4 linked regions of the Schizosaccharomyces pombe genome follow. The protein of the gene in region 4 purifies or fractionates together with the protein of the main gene of each other region. This does not show direct contact. Each region holds a gene or a part of one and is shown on either strand. Other genes may lie near its edges. The genes, in order: tel1, asa1, rvb2 and tti2.

The links.
Region 1: the proteins of tti2 (region 4) and tel1 purify together in Schizosaccharomyces pombe (affinity purification with mass spectrometry, with the first as the bait; one study listed by BioGRID). This does not show direct contact.
Region 2: the proteins of tti2 (region 4) and asa1 purify together in Schizosaccharomyces pombe (affinity purification with mass spectrometry, with the first as the bait; one study listed by BioGRID). This does not show direct contact.
Region 3: the proteins of tti2 (region 4) and rvb2 purify together in Schizosaccharomyces pombe (affinity purification with mass spectrometry, with the first as the bait; one study listed by BioGRID). This does not show direct contact.

What each region holds. Positions count from the first base shown.
Region 1 is NC_003421.2:1,272,232-1,281,277, forward strand, and holds the start of tel1 (ATM checkpoint kinase), read right to left. Parts: upstream 5,311-9,046; 5' UTR 5,205-5,310; coding exon 1-5,204. Other genes in the region: pdr16 (sec14 family protein), read right to left, coding at 5,642-8,668. UniProt on the Schizosaccharomyces pombe protein: Serine/threonine protein kinase which activates checkpoint signaling upon genotoxic stresses such as ionizing radiation (IR), ultraviolet light (UV), or DNA replication stalling, thereby acting as a DNA damage sensor.
Region 2 is NC_003424.3:5,064,956-5,073,080, forward strand, and holds asa1 (ASTRA-associated protein 1 Asa1), read left to right. Parts: upstream 1-4,636; 5' UTR 4,637-4,740; coding exon 4,741-5,847; 3' UTR 5,848-6,043; downstream 6,044-8,125. Other genes in the region: serine protease Psp3, read left to right, coding at 2,885-4,240; protein Red1, read right to left, coding at 6,257-6,462, 6,507-8,125. UniProt on the Schizosaccharomyces pombe protein: Component of the ASTRA complex probably involved in chromatin remodeling.
Region 3 is NC_003423.3:1,522,194-1,527,529, forward strand, and holds rvb2 (chaperone, AAA family ATPase Rvb2), read left to right. Parts: upstream 1-1,798; 5' UTR 1,799-1,813; coding exon 1,814-1,862; intron 1,863-1,963; coding exon 1,964-3,312; 3' UTR 3,313-3,499; downstream 3,500-5,336. Other genes in the region: Lid2 complex histone demethylase H3-K36 subunit Jmj3, read left to right, coding at 1-1,392; U5 snRNP complex subunit LIN1, read right to left, coding at 3,500-4,608, 4,655-4,772. UniProt on the Schizosaccharomyces pombe protein: DNA helicase which participates in several chromatin remodeling complexes, including the SWR1 and the INO80 complexes.
Region 4 is NC_003423.3:3,896,661-3,904,936, forward strand, and holds tti2 (protein Tti2), read left to right. Parts: upstream 1-3,275; 5' UTR 3,276-3,386; coding exon 3,387-3,461; exon of another isoform or gene 3,462-3,505; coding exon 3,506-4,510; exon of another isoform or gene 4,511-4,558; coding exon 4,559-4,882; downstream 4,883-8,276. Other genes in the region: trs8501 (TRAPP complex subunit Trs85), read left to right, coding at 1-726; cmp7 (ESCRT III complex subunit), read left to right, coding at 1,436-1,714, 1,758-2,159, 2,221-2,889; SPOM_SPBC1604.16C (G-patch type RNA-binding protein), read left to right, coding at 4,972-5,571; gpi16 (pig-T family GPI synthesis protein), read right to left, coding at 5,760-7,397. UniProt on the Schizosaccharomyces pombe protein: Component of the tel2-tti1-tti2 (TTT) complex that stabilizes protein levels of the phosphatidylinositol 3-kinase-related protein kinase (PIKK) family proteins.

The sequences.
Region 1 (9,046 bases), on a different chromosome or scaffold from region 4:
GTATTTTTATTTAACAAACCAGATAAGATCAGTTGTGTTACATACTCCTTTTGCTTTTTGTTGTTACCATTAAAATCAAACTCCAACAGAATCAAATGTATAATATATTGAATAATTGAAGTTGAAAACCCCACCATGTAAGTACTCAGCAATTTTAGAGAATGTGTTGTTGATGATTTTCCCATCATATTTAATAATTTCAGCGTCTCTTCCTTAGTCCAATTTGACAAAGAATCAAAATTTGTGGGTTGTAATTTTACCCATTGAAAAGAACCTTCCTCAGAAACAAGAGTCTTGAAATCACTATCGTAGATGATACTATCTTTTGGAAAATTTAAAAATTTTCTAAGCTCTTGGTGATTACCATTTTCAAAGAACATCCTAATGCAATCCTCAATGAATGAATCTAATAAAATGTCATATTTAAATAAAAGAGAACATGCTTTTTGACATATCAATTTCCAAATAATAAGTTTTGATTCTTCATAAGTTTTAGTATCGCATAATCGAGGATCGGTTTTGGGTATATAATGATTGAGATCAGCAATTTCCGGAGATTTGAAAAAATTCCAGCCCATGATGTCTGAAAAAAAGAGCTTCAAAGAGTCAGGAAATTCAGTAATATCGTATGCTTTGTAACATTTCCAAATTTCAAGGCTTAAGGAGTGTAAAACATTTCTGGGACAAGCATCGAGGACTTGCCAAAAGTAGAGACAAAGATAATTATTCATTGCGATTCTCTTAAGAAAGTGACCTCTTTCGAACAGTTTATTTGAAACCTCTATCCATTCATTTTTGGTTGTCATCACTGAACGTACAAAGTTTATTTGACAGCGTAAAAATCCATAACCTTCATACTCAAAATTTAGTAAAGCAGTAACGTAACCATCAAACCAAGTATAAAAATCTTGGATAGCCTCCATCTTCGTACCAATAGTGTTGTAGCAAAAACCCAAAAAGTCCATACAGAATTCGGCTAGTTGAAAGAAATAATCAAAATCAGTAGGTTTGAATTTTTTCAAATGAAAGCGCGCAATTCCTAATCCTAGTGATTGGGTACAAGGTATTGAGAGTAATTGTCTAGCTATCCTAAGTACTATCATTACCAAATAGTTTGAAGTGATAAAAGGATCAGAGAAACATAGAAAAGCACACAATCTAAAAGAAATAGTAACTTGAAGTTCTTCATCCGTCGCAAAGTGTAGTTGTATTGCAAGTCTCCTTAAAACTAAATCAATGACTGAAGGGATAGAGGAGAAGCCCTCTAATTCTTGGAAGAGTCTATTGCAATACCATAACACAGATTTTGTAGAAAAGAATGGTATCGCTGTGCTATTGTTAAAAGAGACGCGATTGGCAAAAATTGTTAATTGTGAGTACACCTTAAACGAAGTTGAGCTTATAGATTTAAAAGTAGAGCCTAATTCTTTAACCTCTTTAAGCATCTCTAAGCAGAACAAAAAAGCTTTGGAGCGGTTGAGTAATTCCACATCAAGTGCTTCATCAATAGAATTAAATCTCAACGAATACTTTTTATTCTCTACTTCACTTAGATGAGTATAAGTTGTTATAACAGGGATCAATTGCGTATACTTTTCAGAAAAATCAACAGACATGCGTGAAGTAATGAGTTTAGCCAAGGTTATATTCTTAGTCAGAATAAGAACAAGTATAATTTCGTCGCTGTTTTCTTTTAAAAAATCGGAAAGGCTGAAATAAATTGGTTTGTAGGGGAATTCTAGAAAGTCATTGGTTGTATTAGAAAGATCTTTGCTGACGAATGACCAAAATATCTCTAACCTGTATATTCGAAACAGTTGCTTAATATTTGCACTCTGAATGTGAAGCTTACGAAGCAAAGGTTCAAAAATAGTTGACGTTTCATAGCTGTTTGCAAGCTTAAGCAGCTGATACAACAATGCTGATCGATTGGAACTTATTGACAAAAAAACCTTTAAAGTCAAATATAAATAGCAGAAGCCTTTATACAATGACTTCTCAATTTTAATGCTTAAAATTGGGAGAACAAAACCTTCAATTAACGTTTTATCACATTTTTTAAGAAAAATCACCAAATCGTCAACAAAGTTATAAATAACACAAACATCAGAGTCTTTAAGAGTTAAAGAAATCAATTTTTGATAATCGAATTTTGAATAAACGTGAGATGTAGGGGATAACTGAAATATAAATTTTAAAAAAGTTTGTCTACCAGATAATGATGAAAATTTAGTCTCAATAAAAACCTTTTCAATGAATTTTGTAATCTTCACAATAAGTTTCAAAGTTGCGTCCGTGAACTGAAGTTTAGAATGAACACATTTTTGAAATATTTTAATAAAAATCATTAGATAGACTTCGTCTCTTTCATAATCATAATTCATTAAAATTTTTTGAGCCAGTATTTCAAGACATTTGTAGAAAATAGGTTCGGATGTCCGCGCAACATCTAGGAAATATGCACCAATTGCAGACATACCAAAACAAAAAGTTTCAATGGGATACAAATGAAGAATATTAATTAAGCTGTCATGAGGATGACTAGAAAAGTAGTCGATATATTTTTGTAAAATAAAAAGATCAGTATTCCGTATTTGCTCAAGCGATCCTTCCATCAAACCAAGTATTTGATGATTCCTGATTAAATTTTCTGGCCGATAAATATCTTCTTCCTCCTGGGAGAAATACTCATCGTGATCAAATTCTTGAGGCTTTATGAATACGTTTTTAGAAGCCATATCCATTATATAAAGAACCAAGGTTTTGAGCGGATTACTGTCTCGAAAATGAGTTGAACGAATTAAGTCGCTTCCAATTTCATACCGAAGATGTTTTGGCTCATCAGAAATAGTAAACTGCAAATTAGTAGAGATGCAATTTATTATTGGGTCATAACTGTGATTAGACTTAACGAAAGAAAGGACTTCAGGGAATAAATTTTTAAAAATGACAAGATTGTTAGGAGTAACATTATGAATACCTTTTTTCTGGATAAAACAATTTAGAAAGCCACATAAAAATGATATCTGAGAAAATATCATAACTGCTTCGAAGCTTGGGGTTTCCTTGTCAAGCTCATCTTTGTCATAAGATGCTGAGCTAATTTCGTCTATCGAGCTCTCCAACATTTTAATGACATTTTGCAAACTATCACAGTCAATAGTATGGTTACTATTGAAAGGATAGCATCCTTCTGTAGACTGTTTACATATTTCGTCAGTAGTATAAGGAAAACGAAGCGTAACAGGCGACCATGCTTCTTTGAGGTGAAACAAATTACGTTCGAAAGGTGATCGTATTTCTGTGGTGATATAAGATAATGACAACGGTCTATAGAAGATCATCATTAACAAATCAAAAATGATAATAGAAGAATCGGTAAATGAGAAAAATGGTAGTTCACCCTCTTTGCTGAACAAATGATATAGATGCCACTTCAACCATTTTAGAAACACAGATTTAAAAGAGCTTTGACCAACAAATAGGTTTTCATTAAGTAATATGTACAGAGATTTCCAGTAATCAATGGCTTCATATGAAAGCATTGGCGAGTAATCATTAAATAAAATAAACTGTTGCTTTATGAAAGGAAAAATGCTCGCGAAGCACAAAGGCCGATACATGTTAAAATAAGTTAAAATTTGATAGCATACAGGAGACGTAACAGAATTCAGGAGACCACGAGAAGCAGCAGCCAAAATTTCCTTTTTACATGAAGTCGTAAGCATCGAAGAGTAAGCTTTGTTGTAACAAATGTTGAACAATATAAAAAAAGACCAGCTTTGAAGTTCATTTTTTTTCTCAGTAAAGTTAAGACTCATTTTTTGAATTGACAATAGATCATCGTTTGTTAGATTGTCAGAAATAGCAGTGATAATTACCATGAGTTGCAATGAAAAAGAGGAAGCCGAGATATTGGCTAGCTCAGCTTGCAAAAGCAGTTCCTCTATTTGAGAACATGTTTTCTGCTTTTTGTTGGCTTGCTCCGTGCTTGCTAAGGACAACACGGTTTTTTTGAGGAGAATTAGTTTTGCAAGAAAAAAATAAATAAAGTAAGATTCAAAGAAAGAATTATGTCTAAGAGAAAAAAAAAGGTGTAGCCGTGGATCGTAAAGTTTTGCAATGTTGTTCTTAGGCTCAACTGTATGGAATCTAAAATTCGCAAGCGATAATGAGGAGCGTTTTCCAAAAAAATTTAAGAAATTTTTTAAAGAAAAAAACGAAGAGTTAAGAAGATCTAAATTAAAAGATCTAATGGAACGATGGGGATCCCATGTTTCTGAATTGGACCAAAGTGGATAAGAAATGGCTAAGCATTGTATAAGCTGCAATCTTAAATCCAGACGCTTCCATTTATCAGAGTTTATAAGAATCTTAAAGACTAATAAAACAACGCTTGCGGAATAATCATTACAATTGGGGATCGCATATGCACATAACTGAAACAAACACTGCAAAGCTGGTAGATGCGCATCTGTTTCTTCCGTGTAAGCATAAAAAAAGAACTCAAAAAATTTCAGCAGTTGCTCACTAACAAAATTAATTGGAGCCGCATACCATTGAACAAGAGAACGCATAACGTAAATGAGCTCAACGACTTCTTGCTTTACTCTTATAACATCGTGCGATTTCCAGATAGATATTTCTTGATAGTTTTTTTGGCTTATTGGCTCTTCTTCACTATCACTAACATAAGTTTCTTCAGCTATACTTAGTTTTTCAATAGCTTGACAACAATAGGAAACTAGTGATTGCCAATCCGAGAAACGAAGATGATGCAAATGAGGAGAATGGGATAATAGTAGCCGAAGAGCCTTAGAAAAATTCAAACAGACTACCTCACATATAGAACCATTAGCTGTGAAAGTATGTCTTAGAATTATATCTAGAAGCGCTAAAATATGAGGCTCCCTAAATAATAAAATATAAGATTCAACACATGTTCTTAACAAATAGCTAATATCTTGAAGCTTCTGCTCTTGGGAAGCTTTGGAAATTTGACGTTTACCATGATTAGCAGAAATTTGCCATTCAAGTTCGAATGCTCGCTTTATGGCCTTTTCGATTATTAAAGCATCTTCCTGATTTAGCGAATTTCCATTTCTGGAGTAAATTATGTAGCTGCGAAGATTTTGTAGAGCATCTGATCGTGTTTTGATTTTTGATGAAGACAACTTATTAACGATGTCATTTAGAGAAGTCATAGTATTACATCGAGTAAAAGTTATCTTTTCTTCATTAATATATTAACATATTTGGCGTAAACTGATAATTGAGTAAAAGGTTACGCGTCTCCAACTTTTGGAATTTGGAAGGTTCATTTAGCGTGTACGAATTTTACAGATGCCAAGTTATAAATTGAAGTGTGGTAATTCTTCTTATTGAAACTAAAAAGCACGAAACTATCAACTATATAAGAAAAAAGGAATTAAAACAAATGATCTTCTTTGGAAATATCAATGACTCTACTGTTAGCTAAATATGTACAGTAATAGTGGATTTTCTTTTTTCAGCACCGAATTATTCAAAAGCCCTCTATTAAAAGTTTTCAAGGCTGTAAAAAAAGAAATCATAGAACTAGCTCAATTGCGAATAAAGTATAAGAGAAAAGAGTGAAGAGGTTTCGAGAGCTTAAGAAAAACTATTCTATGCTATCCGCGGTGATAAACGAAACAGCGTCGCTAAATGAAGCCGTAGAAACATCTCGTGCATGCGAAAAAGCTGGTGTTTCTGAAACACCGGAACCAGATTTGGGAAGAAGATCATTCTCGGCATCGAGCCCAGCATCAGCTTTGGTGGATTGAGCAACAGGAATAGAGTCCTCCTTTTTTGTAACAACAGGCGTCGATTCCTCATCTTCAACGATAGAAACAGGCCCCTCATCTTTGACAACGGGCTTAGGATTCTCAACTCGTCTTTTTTGAGGAGAGAGCTCATCAGCACTATTGGTTAAAGTCTTTGGCTGTCTATCAGTATTTACAGTTGGAGTAACAGTTGGAGAAGATGAACGATTTGTCAATGAAGGACGTACATACTGTTGCATTAATTCAACATATTCCTCTCCACCCTTCAAATCCCATTCGCTTGTACCTATTTTAGATCCCATCTTCCTCCATTTTTCCAAGATGCCAAGACGACGTGACTTGCACAATTCCACCAACTGGGGCCAGTACTTCTCATGATGATATTCAAAATGAAGAGATCCACCAAAATTCGAATCTAATTGATCCTTAGGGACATAACGATCCAACGGTTCATTGAACTTTAACTTCTCTCGTGTAATAGGGTCAATAAATGGAGATATCAATTTAAAAAAACCCCATACAGCCCAAGGAATATTAATAACAAGTGCTCTTCCAAGACGCTCACAATAATGAGTTTGCAAAATATTCAGTACCTCTTTACCTTGACCAACGCTGGGATTTGAACGATTGGACGAAGACTTGAAATTAATCAACAAAGCCAATGTCTCTACTCCTGGAGGCATAAGATCAATAGCACACTCCAATGAAAAAACCAGATGCCGAATCTGCAGTGGTGAGGTTTTAGTGTTTTGCCTAGCTGGATATAGGTATAAACAGGGACGACCGTCCTTGTCGTAACCTAGCAATACTTGCTTACCAGTTGCATTCTCCTCTTGGATTTCATCAGGATCCATATTATTAACACCGAAGTGACGACGCCATACCAAAGTATCAACAATACGCTTTTTTGCATTGGAAACGTGCCATTTAGTAGCACGCAAATATCTAAGGATGCATTCGCGTGTTAGCCAAAGACGCTCCAACTCAATCAAATCCGTTTTCTTGCTAGAATTAGACGCTACAGGAATCTCTTTTAATTCCAAACAATATTTAAGTACTTCTTCATACATTTCTTCTTGTTCAGAAGTCAAATTCCGATAAGTGGGAGCCATAGGACAATTTGCATCAGGATAAGGAATTGGTGCATTCCAAGTACCATCAGGATCTAATTCCTTAGGGAACTCAAAAGATGCTTTAGACTTCAAGGCAGGACTGTTCTCATTTGCTTTAATTGGCGATGCTACCGTTGACTTAGTAGAGATAATAGTAGATTTATTAGGAATGTCAAATGATGCAGCTTTTTCTTGAAGCTTTGGAGCAGCTTTAGCAGATGCTGCTGGTAATACCTTATTAGGAGTAGAGGGCGCTGTACTGCTGCGTCCACCTTGGAATTTGGGAGCCACCTTGGGACTCATCGCTGGCAACACTTTACTAGGGGTGGAAGGGGCTGTAACGCTATTGCCACCCTGGAGCTTCGGGTTCATTTTAGGAACTGTACTTGGTGGCACTTTTCTAGGAGTAGAAGGTCGTGTGTCAGATATACTTTCGCTATGCGGTTCCGGATTTACTTTAGGACTAGTGGTAGTTGGCAACGGCTTTCTCGGAGTAGATGATTGTGTCTGAGAGTTTTCTACCAAGGATGCTTTACTGGAATTATCTTGACTTGAGGGATGATCTGAGCCGGATTCTGGAATTTTGTTATCAGTGCTCAACAAGCTTGGGGGGCTATTTTGCACCACCTTCTGTTTATAGAATTGGCTAGGAACGATAGTGTCATACGAAGAGACAGATTGTCTTTGGCGCTGCATTGTCCCAACGATTCCTTCAATGTCTCCTTCAGAAGAATGGAACTGAAAATGCCTTTCATCAGTGAGAGGGGCATTGGAGGCATGTTCAGTTTTCATCGCATCCTCAGTCACGGCTTTTTCATCTGAAATAAAACGACTAGAGTCGACGTCAGTTTCTTTAGCGGCTTCATTTACCGAAGCATCGCCTAAAGAGGTATCTCTTCCGTCACGTTCCAAATCACCAACAACAACTTCAACGTCTCCGCGAAGTGAATGAAACTTGTAATGCTCTGTGTTTGTAAGCGAAATTTTGGTATTTTCATCACAAACAGCTTTTTCAGATTTTGCAGGGACATTAGCAGATACAGGATGCTCAGTAGGTTGTTTTTCATCAGAAACCGTCTCACTGCTATATGCTACTGCATCCGGTGATTTTAGCGGATTATTCGCAATATTTGGATTAACTTTCTCAACTCTTTTTTCAGATTCCGTAGTAGAATTAATCTGATCGACATTAAGTTTGCTATCAGATTTAGCAGCAGCTTCATCGACATTTATTTTATCATTCATATCTACATTAAGTCTGGGTGTATCTGAATCATCGGGTGTAATTTTTGGTTCAGCGGCAGAATTACCTTCGGAAACATCTACCGTTGGAGCTGAACTACTCATGGCTGCATCATTAGCTTCAGCTTTATCAGATTGGACCCTGCGTTGAGCGACCTTTCTTTCACCTTCAGCATTACGAGTTTTTTGGTTAGCTGCTTGAATATGCTGCAAGTTGACTGTATTTCTCATCTTTGAGGCAGGAGATGAAGAAGACCCTGTTTTGGTATGTACAGTAGGATTACCAACAGGTACAGATTTTCTGACCTCGTTCGAAGTGGAAGATGTGCTAACATTAGGGCGAGCAGGACGCACATTAGAGGCGGGTCCTTTGGCAGCAGTATTTTCTCTTTCATGAATACTGCTGGTATTGCTTTTATGCGATTTTCCTTTTGACTTGCCAAAACCAAGTTTATGGAGAAACTTACTAAAGCCGTTGTGGCCATGATGGTGATGTTCCGAATCTTTCATCGTGGTTTTGTATCGATAAAATTAACGAATGTTGGTTTTGAATAAACTATTAACAGTTTAGATTGCAAAGGGTATTCTTTTCACCGTAAAAGAAGAAATATCAAAGGAAATTAGAAATAATGGAATTAAATGAAAAAAGGTATTTTCCCAAGACTTAAATTACTATAGGGTTCGAAATACTTAACTCTTTTCTTTTTTCTCTATTTTTAGTAAGAGATCTCGATGGTTTACCATGAATTCCAGGATATCTTTTATCTCTGTTTCGACCAATTTAACATGCAAGCAAGTTAGATTATATTCAAAGAAACGTGTCTGATCTCTAAAGATAAGGCGCAGACAGAAATGCAAAGAACAAATGTCAGATATATTTAGAGTATT
Region 2 (8,125 bases), on a different chromosome or scaffold from region 4:
TGGAAAGTTGAAACTTGCCATCTTGTCAAATTGCATGCTTTGGTCATTGTTTACAGTCGGCCATGCAATGCACACAATTTGATACATGCTCTTTCTTTACTAAAGTATTTCAATCATATTAATTTAAACAGATCACGCACTTGTAAATAATCCTCCTAACACACATAGAGAAAACAATCCTTCCAGGTCGACAGATAATTCTTCCCCTTTCTTGATAAAACTGCTAATATCATTCACACCAATCTATGTACTGAATGTACTTGCAATTTGTTATCTAAAGTATAAGAACGCTTTCTTTAAAAATTATGGTGCAGCGGAATGGACATTATTTGGATTTTGGTGTCTTGTTTGCACTTTGGCTTTAATATTCTTGACTTGTAAGTGAGACAATGGGTAATCTTACCTTCAGTCACTAACTCATTAGACTTCTATGAAACTTGAACCAAGGCTTGCGGAAAAGGAATCAAGCACTTTTTAGAAAAGTGGAGAAACATACCTATGGCTTTTAGTGAAGTCTTTTTATTTAACATACTTGTTGGATCACCACGAGTGGCTTTAAGACACATTTCTGGCGAGAGATGGGGATTGAAATGTTCTTTGGCTGATCACATTATCTTTGCTATATTGAGCATCCTTGTTTTTATTGTCGAAACAGGTTTGTTATTGAATAAACATTAATTTATATTAACAGTATAGTGGAACCTGGATCAAGCAAAATAAACATTATGGAAAGATTAAGAGGAGACAATGGTAAGGATGAAAAGAGACTATCTTCATTAAAAATTGTTTGCTAATCATCATTAGCTCGTGATGCCACACAGCACGTGAATGAATACACAGCTATTTCGTTACGTGAAATGAACCCTGAAAGTGAAGCCTAATTATATTGCTAACTTTACTAATTGTACGATAAAGGCGCTTTTTACATGAGGCTTCTTTTCTTTATAAGAATGTGCAATAAAGAAGCGCCTTTATGATTGTGATTTACTCAAACAAATCATAAATTTGTTTAGAGTATATCACAATGTACTTTTTATTGCATTATTTATTTCCTGACGAATTGAATGAGCAAGTGCATTGCTTGAAAGATTCTGCGATGTTGGATAACATACACTGGGTATTGAATATTAAAATAATGGTTTTATTTATTCGGAAAATAGCAGTTCACTAATTGACTGTTGTCGTCAACTAATGAAATCGGAAAACTCGCTGTTCCTCCTTGTTGTATTCACAACTTCATTGTCTTTGTTACATTCATTTCTCCTTCATCTTGATCCTTAATGAATCATACTTAATTGTCTTTTTTTACTTTTGTTTAATGGTTTACTTTAATACAAACAAAATTAATGTTTACAAAATAATGAACAGCATAATAAAATATTGTGATTGAAAACGATGGTTTGTTATCGTAATGATTATAGTGACTCATTACAATAGTGAGTATTTAATGTCGTAGTAATGTTAGCTACGCAGTTTGATATCTGTTTTAACGATATTTAGAATTCCGGTGAGTTTTTACTTGCGATCTACAATGTAGCGGTATGCAATATTTAACTAACAATGTATGTTTATTGTTATAAAAAGTCTATTAGTATTGGTCACCGATATAGCTAATAACTGAACTGAGGAACGAGATTCAGTGGTAGCTCTATTTGTAACCTTCTTGATAGCTGATATCAATGTTTATTCATGTATATAGAAGGGCAGTCTATCCGCATTTATCAGTAAACGGATCTTAAGTAATATCTTAACATAGGAAATGTAGTGATACGCAACGTAGTGTATCATAAGTGTGGTATTGCTGACAGTATCTGTGTTAACAATATTTTGGGCTGTGGAGAATTTGACTTGTATTTCGTTATATTGTAATATGTAGCTCCTGCAGGTAGCAAGTATTATAAGTATTCATATACTTAAGCTATAAATTAACTTATAAGATATCTTTAATTGGACTTCGTTCCTCGTGTTCAATTTAAGATCCTTTTAAAATCTTTTTCATAGAATCTACAATGTTTTCTAAATAAACCGATAGTCTTTTGATTTTATCAATAAGAGATTTTAGCTGGTAATTCCAACGTAAAGCGTATAGTGATATACAACGTAATGAATTGTAGCGTATCTTAGAATTGTTGGCATATGTACAATCGTACTTTGACAATATCAATCAATTGATCAATATTGTCTATCACCTTGAAAGCTAATAATGATATATGAAACCAATATATATGTATATATATATATAAACTCTTTCCTCGAGCTGGAACAGGAATCCCCTTGTTCCCTCCTACCTTTATTTCGTTTTCAACCTTCTAACCTCGTTATGGTAATATTCATTTTCTAAATGTACTGCCTAGTTTCTTTCATTTGTGAAGCGCTTATGAGCTCAATATCTTGAAATATATTTTTAAAATACAAAAAACGGAGTTCTTATTAGATCAACATTACAGCACTCATCGTGAATGGTATAGCTTCGGCAGCGTAATATGTTACTCGGGCTACTTCGTCAGCCTCCTTATCCTGTACTACATTAAGTAAACAGCTCACAACAACTTAACTTCTTCACAACACACTTGCTTTTTTTGAGTAATTTCAACTGATTTGCAATTGACATTTCCATTGTTTTGTTTTTCTTTGTTGCATTTTTTCTTTTGCAAAGCTTTATATTTGTATCCATTACTTGAAATCTTGTTGGTTTCTAAATTCCTTTCTTTTTTTCCGAATTCATTTTTTCAAAGACACTACGCGGTTGCTTGAAGCTGAAAGAGTTTGCTAATTGCTTATTTCAATCTGCTTTTTGAATTACTCTTGATTAAAGTACAAGTCTTCACTTTTTTTTTCGTGTGAGCGTGTGTGTAGAATTCTTCTTGTTCTCAATTTTTGTATCATGAGAGTTTCTTGGATTAGCGGTCTCTTATTAGTGGCGCACCTGGCTCCTTCCAGCGCCTTCAACCCTTTAAGGTTTTTCCTGGATGACACCTTTTCAAGCGGTGCTACTGAGGAACATTTTATGGGCCCCTCTGATGATGGTTTTGCGCTTCAGCAGCCCACCAATTATGATCCTTCTATGCCATTTCCTTTAGATGAATCGGCATCAGCCGCTGTGGATGCTGTGTCTAATAATTACATTGTCATGTTTAAACCTTCTGTTGACAAATCGAAGCTTGAGCAACATCATCGTTGGATTGAGCATTTACACGAGAAACGATCCTTAGATTTTAAGGATGTATCTACCTTTTTAATGAAGCATACCTTTGAAATTGGAGACGCTTTTCTTGGTTATGCTGGTCGTTTTTCTCCTTGGTTGGTGGCCGAGTTGCAAAAGCACCCCGACATTGCCCTTGTTGAACCTGACCGTGTTATGCATGTTATGACTGAACAAACTTTTGCACCTTGGGGTTTGGCTCGTGTATCTCATCGTAAAAAACTCGGTTTTTTTACCATGACTCGTTACCAATACAATGAGACTGCCGGTGAAGGTGTTACTGCATACGTTATCGATACTGGTATCAACATTGAGCACCAAGATTTTCAAGGCCGTGCCACTTGGGGTGCCACCATTCCCACTGGAGAAGGCGAAGTGGATGATCATGGTCATGGCACTCACGTTGCTGGTACCATTGCAGGAAAAACCTTTGGTGTATCTAAGAATGCCAAACTTGTTGCCGTTAAGGTAATGCGAGCCGATGGTACTGGTACCGTATCAGATATTATTAAAGGTATCGAGTTTGCCTTTAAGCAATCTAAGAAAGACAAGGAATCAATTGCAAGTGTCGTCAATATGTCCATCGGCGGTGATGCAAGTACTGCTCTTGATCTGGCTGTGAATGCCGCTATTGCCGGTGGACTTTTCTTTGCCGTTGCTGCTGGTAATGATGCAGAGGATGCTTGCGGTACCTCTCCAGCCAGAGTTTCCAATGCAATGACTGTTGGTGCTTCTACTTGGAACGATCAAATTGCTTCTTTTAGCAATATTGGATCTTGCGTTGATATCTTTGCTCCTGGTTCTTTAATTTTGTCTGATTGGATTGGATCTAACAGGGCTTCTATGATCCTTTCTGGTACTTCTATGGCTTCTCCTCATGTCGCCGGTTTGGCTGCTTATTTTATCTCTCTCGATCCTTCGCTGGCTAATCATCCTGTGGAGTTGAAGAAGTATATGCTGAAGTTTGCCCTAAAAGACTTATTAAATGGCATTCCTGAGGACACACCTAATGTCCTTGCCTTCAACAATTATGAGTAAACGCTAGTTATGTGTATGTAAATGTTAGCTTGATGACCTTGATTGTTTATTTTTTGATGCTCCGATACGAATGATCAATTAACCAAGTTGTTGAATATCTACTGTCATCAGACGAACAAGCTCAGAGTAATGACATTTGTTATGTTTAGCAATGAAATCATTTAAAACGATACCAATTTGTTCTTTTAGGACTGATTTTTTTTTGTAATGTCAGGTATAGTAGAATTTTATTTCATTTTCTTATCTACTACTTTTTGCACTATTGTTATCGTTCATTCGTACTAGTAGTAAATATGTAGTTTGACAAGTATGGTATATCACTTGGTAAAAAAAAATGCCTTCTGGATTCACCGTTATAATTTTGTCTTATACCGCTTATTAAAATTGATTCCCTTACCACCAACAATTCGTTTTACAGTTCAATTTGTATTGTTCCCCTATCCTCTCAGCTTGATGATTACAAATATTTGCTCAAAGTGGATGCTTTAATTTAAATTTTCATGGTAGTTCCTACTCCATTTTACGTTTTACGTGGTCATTCTAGCAGTGTCACTAGTGTACTTTTTGACGCTAATGAATACTTATATTCTGGTGATGAGGCAGGTTTTGTAATTTGTTGGTGTCTTACTAGTATGCGACCAAAATGCGCCTGGAGAGCTCATACAAAAACCATATTGGGCATGCAAATAGTCAAGGGAGGAGCCTTATGCACTCACGGTAGAGACTGTCGTCTCGTCACTTGGAAAATCGATTTTAATTGCATGACCGACAATTTTATGTCATTATCAAAACTAGCTGAACTTCAAAATTACGGTCCTGAAGCCTCTTCTGAAACTGAGAAGAGCAGCGCATTTATATCTATTCATTCCAATATCGTTGTTAATTCCCTAACCTTTTGCCCCTTCTCTTACTCTCCTCAATCTAAAATAGTAGTTTTATGCAATACATTGAACTTTGAAGAGCTTGATGTATATGATGATGAATCATTGTATCATCCTCAAACACACAAAGAGGATTGCGGAAAAAGACTACAGACGAGAATTCAGCCAGAAGAGTCTGTTGGTAAAACAGGATCAGTAATGTCAACCTCAGTAACCGTTACTGACGAGAAGTATGTACTATTAGCTGCCGGTTACGAAAGCGGTCATGTGGTTCAGTACATATGTTCATTAGAAAATGTAAAGACTGTTACCCTCGATTTTAAAGCTGTTTGGAAGATGGTTTACGCCTACAAAAGTCATTCTCAACCAGTTTTATCGGTAGAGTACGCTGGTTCCAAATTATTTTCAACGGGTGCTGATGACTGTATATGTCTGCATCCTACTCCTTCATCTATAGCTGATGATCTTGGTAGTCTGCCTCATCCTATATTTAGAAAGACAAAGCATTGTGGACAACAAAATATTCGTATACGAAGTGATAACAAGATATTAGCAACTGCAGGATGGGATGGTCGAGGTCGTGTTTACAGCTGCCAGACATTAGCTCCTTTAGCGGTTTTGAAATATCACTCCGATGGTATTAATAGTTTGGCCTTTCATCCAGGCAGCAACGTGATTGCGTTAGCTAGTAAAGACACCAGAATATCTCTCTGGAAGTTGTATTAGGGCAAAAGTTTAGGACATTACAGTTACGTTTAATCCATCATCATTTTCAAGAAATCATTTACTTTTGGTTTGCAGGATTCAATTCATTCTTATTACAATACGCGCATTTTTATCAATAACCATTGAAATGATTTTAAACGTATTACATATATTAAATATATTAAATATCAGACTAGTAAATGCTTAATCTTCCAGTATTTTGATATCGCCTCAAATAAGATGAGCGATTCATATGCAAGCATAGAAAGTACGAAAGACATAATTCTAACCTGAGCTATATTAAGTAGTGACATTAGTTTTATAACGGCAAAGAGCCATTGTTTATGTATAGTGATGTTTATAGTACAAGGACGTAATTTTGACGGTCAAAATTTTTACAGTTAGTTTGATGTTGCTTGGCAGTTTCAATCTAAATGGAAACCTTTGCAACAGGAATTGTCATTCTCTCCGACTTCCAAAGATTATGATATTCGACGATTCGAGTAGCAACATCGACGAAATCGGTGTTCTCATCGGTATTTTTCATGACTATATCTAAACCGGATTTATAAGACTCTTTCTCAATTTCATCATTTCCTTCGATGTACCTTGATAAATCTTGTATAATTTCATCATCTGTATAAAGGTTAGTCAAAAATCAACAGCACAAATACCATAACCCGTCATTTTAATGTCGCGAAAATGCGACGCCTCGCAATGGTCATCATTACAAACACCACCAGTGGTTTCGTATTTACAGAAAACTTTCATCGGCTCTATCTTATTGCTGTAGGTAAGCGACCGATATTTCAACGGTACTCGCTCAACAAATTGTTGATTAAATCGATAAGATTTAAAGCGGTAAAATGGAGAGATATAATCGACAAGCGGTACCTTATCCTCAAAATCTGTTTCCGTCGTCCCATTTGGCGCGTTTGACGTTTTGGAAGACAAAATCTGTGATGAGTTCTCATCTGCTTGGGCGGAAACCTCGGTTATTGAGTCCATACTTAAATCAGATTCTTTAGGTAAACATGCAACATTTCCTTTCCCTTGTTGTTCGAGTAACTGTTTTTTCCTAGTGTACAATTGTGTTAGAATCTCAGTTTTTGATTTCACCAAAGTTTGATATTTTGTTAGTTCTCCTTCCTCTTTTTCTATTAAGTTATTTAAAATGTCAATCTCGGATTTTTTAATCTGTGCGGGATGCTCTTCATGTACCACAGCAATTTGTTCCGTCTTTCTGAGCCAAGGTGCCTCTAATATCTGCTCAGTTGTATCAGAATTCGTAGTTGCAGCACTAGACGAGGCTCCTGACGAGCTAATAGAAGGTCCAGCCTCCACAAAATCGGCTTTGGAACTAAGATCAACGACTTTTTCAAAGGTATCCAAGTGTGTTTTAGATTTGTTGTCAACCGCAGCTACAGGGACAGATGGAAGTTTCATATCGGCGGCAGAAGTTGGCGATCTATACGGTTTTTTATTAGACTCAAGCCGTAAGATCAACTTTGTCATTCGCCGTATTTCCTCTTCTTTATTGCGAAGAAGCGCCAAGTAATCTGAACGAGACATAGTAAGACCATTTTCACTATTTGAGGGGGGCTTTTCTAAATTAGATTGTTCTATCTTCGAATTCGAAAAGTCATCTCCATCATCATCGGAATCAAATTCAATAACTACATTTGGAGTCGAGGAGCCAAAAGGCTTCGAAGAAGATAGCCAATCGTCCTGCTTCAAAAGTGGTAAAGATATAAGATTTTTTCTTTCAGGAAGGACGGTAGGTGTACCATTATCGCCAGGTAATATATGTGTGTCACTAAGATTACTGTCAATCTTACGAAGTTTAGCAGACCTAGCAGCTTTGTCTGCAGATAGTGTCAGACTTCCTTGGGAGCTAGCAGAAGAGGAATCCAGTCCGAGCTTTAAAAATAAAGTATGAACAACCGAAGGCTCGATGCCCTCAGCAATAAAATCGTTAAAGCGCACTCCTACTTCAAACAACTGACTCACAGCTTTCTCTGCTTCCTTTTGATTAGTAGTCTTGGAATAATTTGCATCAGAATTTTTAGATGTTGAAAGAAAAGGTGATTTTTCTGATTTTGCCTTTTCACTCTTTTGATAAGAAGTGTCGGATGATAAAGCCAATGGTCGGCTAGTAGCGGTATCTTTAAGAGCCCGGTTTTCTTTAAATGACTGGGAAGTATTAGAAGAATCCGATGTTTCAGAAGACTTCGCCTTATTTCGGTTGTTGAATGAATTCTCAGATGACCGTTTGCGCTTCGAAAAGGTTTTGTTTGAG
Region 3 (5,336 bases), 2.4 Mb from region 4:
GATGAACTGCTTATAACCTTTCCAGGCACACATCATAGTGCATTTTGTCTAGGAGACGCTGTTTTACGACGTTTTGTCTTTCGTTCACCAAGATCTGCTTCCAACTATGAATTTTCTAATTTACGAAGACTTATGGTTTCAGAATCCCTTTATTCCTCTAAATCTTTATGGCCACATTCGCATAAGCCTCAACGTGCTTGTTCTCAAAAGTTCCTGGATGAGTTTTACTTGCATGATTTACCCGAATCCAACATCCATGATAGTGGTAACTTTCATCCGATTCATTCAAGTGTTGATAATAATTCATTTTCTCAACGAGATTTTGACTCACCTAACTCTATTAATCCTCCATCTCCTTTAATGTCTAATCATGAGAGTGCATCTACTGAACACTTTAATTCTACTACAACTACCGAAAAGGAATTATCTTCCCTTCACGTGGGTGAAGAGCGCAAAAACCGATCGCTTCCTTTGTCACTGATTTGGAATTCTAAGGCACGTGAAGAGTATATAAAAAAACAGAAAGAAGAAAACGGTGATAACATAGAGTTTTCTCATTTTGATCCTTTATATACTCGTCCATCATCACATCCTTTGCATCCGCCTCCTATTTTAGGGCTTCCTGTTCCTGCACAGTTCGCTCGTGGAGAATTGTTTTTGGGGAGGATTCTCGAAGACAGGGTTAGTGAGCATATGTTGCTCCTCGAATGTGAAAAATCGGATGTAGTTGAGGTACCATATGAATGTATATTAACATCTTCTTCTGCTGCTGGTCGGCGGGAGAGTTCATATTATAATCCAGCCCTTAAAGCTCCTAATATCGTTTATGATGACGGTGTTCCTATTAACTGGAATGAATATTCAGAATTACCTTCACTTGATCGCTTCGTTTTACCCAAGTTGTTACCAGGAAAACCCATAGAATTCACTCCACCAATTTCAGTTGAACCAACCTCGATAAAGACTATTGCTGCTGAAGAATCTTCTGAACCGACTTCATCTGTTGACGTGGCACCAACTCCGGTAGAAGACGTCAACGTGAATTTAGAGTCGATCAGCAATACTAACGAATCTGTTGTTGACTTATCTGATCCTCTTGTAAGTAAAAATGGATTTGAAGATGTTGAACGGAGCTCGGTAGCAGATTTGGAAGAAGACGTTCTTGAAACTCGCTCCAGCATTTTTGAGACTTCTGACATTGACGATCGTTTAACAGTGATTGATCGTTCACAATCAGTTGTGCCTTCAGAATCTGAATTTTCTATTGCTGGCGCAAACCTTACTCGTCGAAACGCAGTGGATTTCTCAGTTTCACTAGATACGTATGAGCTTTATGTGAGTGATGAAGTCGAAAATGTCGATGATTTTTCTCTCTTTCCTTCCTTAGAATAAGGATATAAGAATTTGCATGTAAATGCATTTTTGCTGCATTATTGTATTTATGATTTAGTCGTTCGTTTTAAAAGTTTTTTGAATAATATTAAAAATTTACAATGTTTCAATCATATCGGTGACTAAATTAATTTTCAGCTTCGACATTGATTAGTGTAGCCATTAACCATGATAAAATACGCGCTACCTTTTTTAGTAACGCAGAATACTTGTATGACAAATGTGATTGTTTTTTGTAAAGAAGTTATTAAAGATACATTTAAGAACCAGTTTTAGTCAAAAATATTAATTATTTATCCTCAGTTTCTTACATAAGGAAAGTTAGCGATGGTTCATATGCTCTCAACCGCAACGCAAGGTAATGATTGCTATGTGAGAATGACTGTGCAGTCTTGAATAAAAAACCAAACACAACATAATCATGTCGATTTCGGTGACTTCTCATAATGATGTCTCCAAATTAGAAAGAAGTATGTTTTTAAAATAGAAATAGACCTCTAGCATATTTTGAAATTGGGGGGACTCAAATGCTTTAAAATTGAGTGAGTTAACTAATCTTTACTGTTTTTAGTCGGAGCACACTCCCATATTAAGGGAATAGGTCTCAATGATAATTTAGAGCCGAAGGAGTCAAGCCAAGGAATGGTAGGGCAAGTCAAGGCTCGCAGGGCTGCCGGTGTAATTCTCAAAATGATACAAGAAGGCAGGATAGCTGGAAGAGCCATATTGATGGCTGGACCCCCTTCAACTGGTAAAACTGCTATTGCAATGGGAATGGCTCAATCTTTAGGTAGTGACACACCATTTGTAACACTTTCTGCAAGTGAAGTGTACTCTTTGGAAATGTCGAAAACAGAAGCCCTGTTGCAAGCCTTGCGAAAAAGCATAGGTGTCCGTATTAAGGAGGAGACAGAAATTATTGAAGGAGAGGTTGTGGAAGTTCAAATTGATCGGTCTATTACTGGCGGTAATAAGCAAGGCAAGCTTACAATTCGCAGTACCGACATGGAAACGGTTTATGATTTAGGAACAAAGATGATTGATTCCCTCACAAAAGAAAAGGTTTTAGCTGGTGATGTTATTAGTATTGATAAGTCAGTGGGAAGAGTTACTAAGCTCGGTCGTTCATTCTCGAGGGCAAGGGATTATGATGCTATGGGAGCTGACACTCGGTTTGTTCAATGTCCTCAAGGAGAAATTCAAAAACGAAAGGAGGTAGTCCATACCGTCTCCTTACATGACATTGATGTTATTAATTCACGTACACAAGGATTCTTAGCTTTGTTCTCAGGTGATACTGGTGAGATTAAACCAGAAGTACGTGAACAAATTAACACCAAAGTTAGTGAGTGGAGAGAAGAAGGAAAAGCCGAAATAGTCCCTGGTGTACTTTTCGTTGATGAAGTTCATATGCTAGATATTGAGTGCTTTTCTTTTTTCAATCGCGCATTGGAAGATGACCTAGCTCCTATCGTTATTATGGCTTCTAATCGAGGAATTACTCGTATTCGAGGTACAAATTATCGTTCCCCTCATGGCATTCCAGTTGATTTGTTAGATCGTATGCTGATTATTTCTACATTGCCCTATTCCCATGAAGAGGTAAAAGAAATCTTGAAGATTCGCTGTCAAGAAGAAGATGTTGATATGGAGCCTTCAGCTTTAGATTACCTTTCCACTATTGGTCAGGAGACTAGTCTTCGCTACGCATTACTTCTTATATCTTCATCTAATCAGGTTGCTTTGAAGCGCAAAAGTGCTACGATTGAGGAGTCCGATATCCGACGTGTTTACGAATTATTTTTGGATCAAAAAAGAAGTGTTGAATATTTAGAGGAATACGGAAAGAATTACATAACCGAAAATGAGTGGTCGGCTTCAGGTGCACAAGATAATGCAGTTGCAATGCAGGAAGATTAAAAGCACTAAAGACGAATATTTTGTTATAGTTAAGAATATGAAAGTATTAAATAGCAAGTCTTTATAAAGGTTGCAAGACAAGTTTAATTTAGACTTATTTATCGAATTATAGTTTTCCGTTAATTCAAAGGTACAAGCTATAAGTTCTGTTATATAATGAAATAAAATAGTTTATTATCCACTTTGACTATTTCTTTAAAGAAACTACATCGCAAAAGCAGATATTGTTAGGATACATCCATTCATCCATATTTGCTAATTGTATAAATGCTGCATGCTTGGCATCCGTAAAATAACCTTCATTACTCCAAGCCTGTATTTGGCTTGCGGTATAAGGGCCGTACGTCTTATCGTCAAATTCCCACTTAAAGTTGTACTGTGAAGAATTTGAGTCGTCGTAACTAACAGGAGAAGACCATGAATTTGACGTGAGTTTTTGATAAATTCTTTGAAGAGATTCTCTAGTTTCCGAGTATATATCTTCCTTTCCAATTTTATCCTCTAGAAAAGTTAGACCAGCAGTTATAAGTTCTATTAATTTTTTCCGAAAAGCGTCAGCACTTTTCCTTTCAGGAGAAATGCCCTCTGCGGTATTATTTTTCTTTTTCTTATACGATTTTTTGTTACCACTTTGTCTCTGCAAAAATTCTAAAATACTTTCATCTCTCTCCATTCTTGCGATAAAAAACGATAACGCTTCAGGAACCGTGGAAAAAGGCAGTTTACTAAATTCTTCCAATTCTTGATTCCTTCTTCTGTTTTCCATTTCCTTACGCTTCTGCTCCGCTTCTCTGGCTGCTGCAATGCTTTTTTTATTAGAAACACTGCCATTGAGCCATGCATCATACTGAGACTCTGGGTCATAATTTTTTCGTATGAAATTACCATTTTCGTCAAAATCACCCTCCTCCATATCTTCTTTTAAGTTAAAGGACATTCGTTTTGGGCTTGAGGGAACTGATATCTCACTGCCTTCTTCATCCGCGTCGAGGTCGTTAGCCTGATTTGTATCTTCTTGGCCTTCTATATCTTCATATCTTAACTTTGAATACTTTCCGTTATCGTCCTCATCATCAGAATCGTCGTTCAAAACCTCTTTATTTCGCAAACCTTTATGTGCTAATCTTTCAGCATCGCCATTTTCAATGAAATCACGTCGCTTTTGCGCTTCATCATTTGGCAGAGTACGCTTCTCATCTTCCGAAGTATCAGAAAACATATCTTCCGATTGCCCTTCCTTCTTCTCTTTATTCAGAATTTGGTCTTCATCTTCTTCAGATTCAGATTCATAATATCCTGTGAATTGAATGTTAGACAGAAATCAACAAATGAATTTGCATACCCTCTTCTTTTGTCCTAGGACGTTTTCTCCCTACATTGCTTACATCGTATTCAAAAAAAACATCGTGAACATCACCCACTGTACTCGAATTGCCAGGGTTTCTGAGCGTACGCTTCATTGTTCACACAAAATGTAGTTGCAATTGCGAACTCGTTATGAGTGCAAGATTATTAAGTGTTAAATCTGAAACAATAGAAAAAATAAAATGATTATACAAAAATAAATATTACCAAAAAATAATGCACGACGAATAATAATCTCATCCTCATGCTATAGTATTTTTTTTACATGCAGTTATAAAATTACGTAGCTGAAAACATCTCTGTTAAAGAACGTTTAGCAAAATAAAGAGATGAAGCATTATCTACTGACAACGAATAAGTGATTGTGCGTTATACCAGTAGTATATTGATTATTGATTCTTTCTTCAAAATAAAAAACTACTGAAAATTAATCCTGTATGTACAAAACAAACGTGAAATTTTACAATTTCAAAATCATATAATAATATCGCCGTACGTAAGAACGGTATCATCCTGAGAGTGACATTGCATGTGAAACTTGGTATAGATTCGCTGTATAACAGTAAAATAAGACATCAAGCTCTCATTCAATTCAAAAAATTCTATTATGGAGTGACCTTTTTCCATTTAATTTGCATTTTATCTTTAAGATATCTGCA
Region 4 (8,276 bases):
AATCATTCAAGCCATTCTCAAGGTAACTATGATCCACTATCCCTTATTTATTCTTCAGAAAAGCAGGAAAGCATAAAAAGAAAAATGGCGGATTTTTCTTTTATGCTTCGTGATTACAAACGTGCTTATGAAATTTATGATGAGATTCGGAATACATTTTCTCAAGACAAAGCCTGGAATTATTTAGCGTCTTGCGAGGAAATCCAAATAATATGTCTGTTAATGCAAAATCGGAATATCAGCTTGAAGTCGCAAATTTCGTATTTGAACAAATGGTTCGACGAAATGGTTTATATCTATGCTGTTCGTCTTCACTCTTTTTACTATACATTTAGAAGTGTGCTAGTTACAAGCTTGTTGCTCTCGTTGAAGCCTGCGTTTAGTATCGACTTTGCAGCATCCTGGCTTGCAAAGATATTGGAACCAGGCCCTATTTCCCTCAATCCGTTTGAAACTTCTTTCTTAAATACGACAATAGCTGGAATGTATAGTAATAAGGAACATGTTGGTGTTACTGATGGAAATCGCCGCAGAAAAGCTGCTTTTTGGTTTGCATATAGCGCTGGCTTTTGGCGGGACTGTGGCCATTGTAAAATGGCAGAGATTTGCTGGAATCTTGCTAATCGTGTGTATTCAAAATCAGGATGGGAATCGCTTTCTGAACATATGCTGGACTTAAAACCAACGCTTTCCGAAAACTTTCGGGTGAAAAATACTTTTCATTAGACAACTCATCCTGTCATCTGGGCAATCTTTGGTACAAGATCTGCTTATGTAGGTGCTAAACTTTCGATTTTGGTTATGAGCTTATTAATTCAAGCGCGATTAATGCGAAGTTGAAAAATTATATTACCGCTTACAGTATCATATTTATATTCAATTAGCTAGTTAATGACTTTAGAAATTAAAACTTCATTTTTTTTTTGTTCACGTTTTTTGAAATGTTGCTTTAGAATTTAGACTGATGTCAATAATTATTTTAAAATAAAAAGTATATATAAAAAATAACTGTGAAATTCAAAGAGTAGAGGTGTAAGCTATAATTTTGAAAGATTTGAAAAAGGAATAGGAGCTGGCATAAAGGAGCTTAGGATTTCCAATTTAAAATGTAGCATTAGCATTATAATTTATTATATCAAAATTATAATTTAGTATCATACTCAATATAACATATATTAGATATATGCGATTTTACATTAGTCAACTTCATACGAAATTGCTGATGTTATTATAACTTGTCTATCTTATCAGTTTTAGAATAAATTGTTCATTGTCTGAATTTTTGAAAACAAATCATCAGCACCTTATTAGAACTCCAAATTTAGCAATTTGTAACATTACAAAAGTACAAGTGACAAGTCACCTCATACCATTAATTCTGTTTGAAAACTGTATATAGTAAACCACGCAGGTAGCTTCAGGAATATACGACAGAATGGGAAAAAAGGAGAAAGTCAATGCTTTGGAATTTTCTGTTAATAAAGGAATTTTTACAAAAACTCGTTTAAAAAGCCTGTATTCTGACTTTACGAGTCTGTTTATAAAAAATCCTGAAGGATTTTTGGCAAACGTAAATACTTGGAGAGAAGCAATTGAAACATCCGCATGGTCTGGGAAGTTGAATTCTAGGATAATCTTAGTTTTCGATGAGACTTTTGAAAGTGCGTTTTCAAGTCCTGCTTTAGGTAGACCTTTGAGCCTTGGTGCTGTTGCGGTACGTGAATTAAGCATTTTTTTTGAAGCTAATAAGCATATAGGCTTACTGGATCCAGCAAGGGGTTTGGCTTCGTAAGCAAGACTTTTTGAACGATTGTAAAAAAGGAAATTTAGTAAGAGAAGACGGTTTTTCTATTTTTTCAATTCTACGGTGGAGTTTTCAGAAACTTGGGTTTCAAAATCAAGCCTCATCCATATTGTCAAATAGATCCCCGAGTGGGCAGTATGTAATTCGAAAAAATATTGAGAAACTTGCTTGCCTTGTACACAATGAAGCAATGCGACGGTGCAGCAGCTATACGAGTGCAATTTATACTTGGGACTTTTTTCAAGATACTTTTGGAAGCTTATACTGGGAAGAAGGAAAATTAAACAAGGATGAGATGGAATGCCTTCTTAATTGGATGTGCTATCAAAAACATGTTTTAATATTTGATTCTAAGGTAAGTTCAGATTATATGTTTTCTCAGCTATTTGTCGATACCGTTTTTTTAACGAGAATAGATAATCAAGTTTTTACCCAACAGCCAAATTGATGCTCAATTAGCTTCAATTGATAAGTCTATTGATGGGTCTGTTGCAGATCTGATACAGGCTAGGGCATCCATCGCCCAAAGATCAGAATTTTTAAACGAGGAATTGGAGCAACTTTCACAAGTGCTAAACCAAGCAGTTAAAAAGGGAGAGAAAACAATAGCAATAACTTATTTACGTCGAAAAAAGATTTTGTCTAAAGATTTGGAAAGGAAAGTTTCTTCGCGTCTGCAATTAGATACTATAATTTCTAATATTGATAATGCGGTTGACAACAAAATTTTGCTTATTGCAATGTCTTCTGGCTCTGAAGCTCTAGACGCAATTTTAGCTCAAATGGGTGGAACTGAAAAAGTGGAAGATGTCTTAGAAAACGTAAATGATACACTGGCTCGTTCGGAAGAGATTGATGCAACTATTCAAACTTACAATCCTCAAAACATTGATTTAGAGGATGAAGCCGTTGAAAAAGAATGGCAGGATTTGGTAGCTGAAGAACAGAAGGTTGAAGATATCGTGTCTACATTAGGCAATGTTTCTCTAAAAACACCATCTGATACTTTTACCCTTACTAATACTGACTCGGATAAAAAGACTTCGAAACCGGAGAAGATTCAAGCTGAGCTGGTTGAGCAATAATTTATATACGTCCTTTTTTAACGATCACTTAAATTCACGGGAAATGGTTTGGTTTACTAATAATTTATGCACATACTAAAGAATAAATGAATACTATAAAAACATTTTTCTTGGTAATAACTATAAAAAACAATAATGCTTATATACTCAATAGAACTTATATAGCTAAAGCGATAAGGTAAAGTACCTGTGTAATGAATTGATGTTAGTTACTAAAAATTTTGCTTTTTATACCTTTAAAAACTAGTAAATTGTTAATTTATTAAATTGATTTCTTGGCAACGACTTAGAAACTTACAGTATATCACATACTCTATAAGTTTATATTATTAGTGTATGACCATAGCTTAACATGAAATACTTTTTTCATAGAATTTAAGTTCTCTAATAACTAAGTGACATTACAATTCTGTTAATATTCTTTGTTTACAAATCAAACAAATAATAAAACATTAGACTTAATAATTATCTAATAGAAGTTTAAATTGGCAATATCTATGCAATATTACAAAGAGCTAGCTAGGCGATTGCATACTCTACAATCAAAAAATGAAAAAGAAGCTCTTGAAAAAGTACCGTTTTTAATTCACTATTTTCAAATTTTAACCAAATATAGCAAATAGACTTTTTGGACAAATTGGTGGTAGAGGTGGACTCGTTGGTTCATGAACAAGATTTGAGGCCATTATTAGAGTTCATTAGCCCTACTGAAAGTTGGTTTTTACTGGGTACGGCGACAATTTTTTATATTAAATTATTAACTCATCCAGACCCTGAATCGATTGATGTAGTGATTAAAGAAGCGTATGTTGTGCGCGCTCACCGGATATTAAGCATTTTTCAAGAACAGTTTATAGAAAATGTTGTTAAAGAGATCAATTGGGAAATCCTAGCTATTTTAATATCATTAAGTGGAATCGAGAATGGACTTGTACGCAATTTGTCAGAATTCCTCTCAACTTCAATCCTCAGCGCTGTTCCTAGACAAAAATTCTTATTATATCTTCTAGAAAAGTATCAAATAAATCTTTTTCATAGAGAAGAACGGTTGACAGATCAAGGTAGACCGGTTGCATTTGAATTACCACCAGACAAATTTCACAGTGATCAAAGTAAAGCACTTCTTGAGCCAAAGTGGAAAACAAAAAATTATCTCATTTCTCACCTTATTTTTTGGATAATTGATCAGCAAAGTTCTTCTAGCATTGAAGTATGTTGGCACAGAATCATTCCATCTGTACTCCGAATATTGAATGATTTATCTCCAAACATTAAACTACAAGGAATTGAGCTAGTCAACAGATTGTTAAAAATTACGGAAAGAGAATTTCTTTTATATACTGGAATTCTAAAAATTTTGAAGGACGATTTGCTCGTATTCTATACTTTCATACCGCCAAGATTTACAATTCAAACGAGTGTTACCCTTATAAATGCCTCCTTCGCAACCCTAGTTTCTCTTTATCCTGAAGAAAATGAAAATTTAAATTCTATTATGCTGAACGGTATTAATTCTGTGTTTCAGTTTGCATTCGATTATCCCCTGATTCTTCAAGCCGCATTTTCTCAAATTATGGTTTTAACTGACAAAATGAATGTTAGTTATTTACCATACCTAACGGTAATAATTTAAATTCGTTACATTTGAAAGTTTACTAATCGCACTTAGTTGACTCTGGATGAACTGTGTCGTATAATACAAAACCCACAAATCATACAGATACCATCGACACTCTCCTTTTTTTTAGAAATATTAACAAAACTATTGGAAATTTACAGTTATCGAATATCTGCACACCATGTTGAGTTATTAATGGCACTAGTGGTTTGCAGTAGAAATTATATGCGATGTAACTTACAAGAGCATCACAATGCAATTGTACAAGCGCTTCAAAACCTCTTCACTTTGATAAAATTGAACATAACTGTTGAGCAACTCGGTGATTACAATGTAATATTGCCACTGCTTGAACCCCTGCAAATCCCACTTTGAGGTACATATAAGGAAAGACTCTCCTCATTACTAACCAACCTTCAACCTAGATAAATTGGTAACAATGGTTATTCGAAAAACGATGGAAAATGGAGAATAAAGGAAATATGGAGCTGTCAAATTCTTATGGTTTTTATAAAAATGGTCGTAGGGTTTCATTCGTAAAAGCCACTAGTGAACAATCGTTGGACGAAGCCACTTTTATTGAAAAAGGATCGGCACAAGCATTTTATCATTCGTTATTTGAAAATGATAGGGATAATTCGCATACTATGAACAGCAAGAGGGACGAAGCTGGTTTTGCTTGTGAAGTGTGTCAAATATACATTCCAAATAGCAAAAAAATTAATCATTTTAAATCAATGACTCACCTTCTTTCTTCACAACATATTTCAAACAAATTTCAACCCCATTTATTAAAACCAAAAAGCCTTGGTTATCGAGTTCTTTCTCAGTATGGTTGGTCTCCCCAAGGAGATACTGCTGGATTGGGTTTGGAAAATCAGGGTCGTCGTGCCCCGGTTAGAGCATTTCGTGTAAAAAATGATACGATTGGACTCGGTACCAAGATTGATTTGGAGAAAGTTGCAGTAAATAAATGTCGCAAAGGCAAGCGTCAGTGCCAAATCCAACACTCAAAGGATGTACGCCTTAAAGAAGCTTTAATTAAACATTTTTCGTCTAATTGAGTTTATCCTTCTTGCATATGTCCAAACGTCATTAACAATTTTAAGTGTGCTAAATTTGTCCCATTGAATGTACATATTTTATAGTGTTTAGTCGATTGGTTATAAATCTATAGTGTTCAGTTAAAACACAATTGGATGTTTTTTTTTCATGAGGTTTTGTTGTGGAAACACATTAATTAAGGATAGCATCACCCTCTTTTCTTATGAAATATTTTTTCTTTTAGTCTTTGTAACATGGAGGGCTGCCTGTTTTGAAATTTTGATTGTTGAGGTACAAACCGCCGAGTAAGCAAATTAAATATACCCCCAAATGTAAGCGCTATAACTGTTGAAGTAAATATGATTACGTTATACGGCATACTAAAATCTGGTGTAGGAATGAACATTAGAAGCGCAGCAGTTCGTAGGCTACAAAGCTTGGTATTGTTTTCATCAAACACGCTGATTATTGCTGGAGGAAGATTGTAACCACGATTTGCATCGGGAGGATATTCGTCTAGGCGTAAGGGTGTTTTTTCTACATTAAAATGAACAATCAGATTTGTATGTGGAGGTATTGAAAACTGGATTTCCATCATCGTGCCTGCCTTGCGATCTCTTAACGGTTGATAATACAATTTTTCAATAAAATCTTTAGTATTAATACGTGTTCCATTCAAAGTGATAGTTAAAGTATGTAAGTACACGCGCACGAACCAAGGAAATTTTTCAAAATAAACAATAGTTCGAGGAGAAGATGAGGGATTGTAAATTGTAGAAGACAAACTTCCCCAATGGTTGCCATCGTTCGAAAGGGAACGATCAACAGTGACTGTATGATTATCGGAAGTAGATTGAATAGGGATTTGAATATTTGCAGCTTCGTCTAAACTAAAAGTGTCAATTTTATCGCCATTTGAAACAAAAACGTCAGAAAAAGTTGAGGAAAGTAGACATCTTTCCTTAGGCACTTTATGAAAAAGATCATCCACGGTATGATGTTCGGTTGAATAACCAGACATTAGACAATGCAGAGAATCCATATCCTCATCATGGCAATATTCAGAAGGAGGTTGAAAAGTTGTTTTGCCCTTTCTCCTTCCGTTCCTTTCTACATCTACCACCGCTTGAATTATAATGCCCATCTTGACTGAAGCAAGAGACTGATTTTCTGAAGGATAAACATCTATGGAAAAGGAGTGCCAATCCGTATCAAAAAACAAATGGCTATCCAATAGACTGGCAATTCCTGCTTTTCTCTTACAAGGGAGAAGCTTGAAAAGCGGAGATAAGTTTTCAGTACAGACATCTTCTTGAGGGAGCGAAGCAAAATATTGAGTGTTATTGGAAAACGAAAAGGAGCCTGGATATGAAAGTTGTGGTTGATAAGTGTTGGAACTATCAATATAATTTAGTGAAGCACAAAGTAAGCCAGAAAGTTGGTTAGTCAATTTCAACCAATACTTCATGCTGGGATCATTCGCCATGAAAGCCCAAACTTCAAAACCCAATCCACCCGAATAAAAACCATTGTCGGGAGACTCTTTCCAATTTTCATAGTCCCATCGACCACGGGTTGCTCGAATATGTAGCTCTGAAACCTGACATTCGTCCATTACTCGGGCTATAGATAAAGGAAACAAAGAGAAGCTTGATTCGGAGAATACTGAAGAATGTGTACTGTCAGTTGATGCACCGATTTCAAATGCGAATGAAACATATGAGTAGCGACTTGAAAAGCTCTTTATGAATAGAGATTCATCATAAGTCTCGTCTATAGTTGCTGCCGTTAATGAAAAGGAAAGCAAGCTGTAAGCAAATAATAATAAACATCCGTTTTTTTTCATATCTAACAAAGAAACCTGACAATTTAAAAGTATTTGAGTATAATAAATGAAAATTAGAAAACTAATGCGATACGATGTATTGTGACCAAATGAGAACCTAACAATTGATTTTCTTTCGAATAGAAGGATCTTTTAAGAGAAATAGGAAACAGTTAATGGACAAACTGATCTCGATGTGAATTTAAGTAGTACTTTTCGAAGTTATTCGTGAATCAGATTTAACTTTCATGAGTACAATCACAGTACCAGATAAAAGTTATTGCAGCGTTCACTTAATAAAAAAAATGCAAGAATGGTAATTAAACAAAAAGCCAGTACACAATTGTCGAATGAAATAGAATATCTCAGTAGGTTATGGGATGTTAAAGGCGAATTCCAAAAAGAACTTGCTTTTTCAAATTCACTGATTTAAGACTTTATAACAAAAAGATCTTTTTTATAAATCCTAACTGATTAGTGAAATTAATATAAGATAATATGCTTGCTGGTGAATATTGAATCAAAACTTGCTACTGAAGTGATAGTAGCATTCAACCCTACGCTTAGAACTTGATCTTCACCAACAACCCAGTAACCTACTTTATACTTCTTTATGCGCCAGCGAGTATACCACCGAAGTCTTATAAGTTTTGTTTAATTTAGAACTATACATTAAACTATCAAGAAAATTATCCAAGTAAACAGTGCTGACGCGACCTTCGTGTTCTAGTTTATCATTTATAGAGATTTAGTCAATTGAGTAGATTCTTTGATATTCTTTTCTTTTTGAAAAGGATCTATTTCAAAAGTTTCCTTTTCGGTTGTTAATCTGTACAACTGATTCCTCATAAAAGTGGCAGCGGCACAAGTTACTGTGCCCTTTGCGCCTCTTACTAGGAG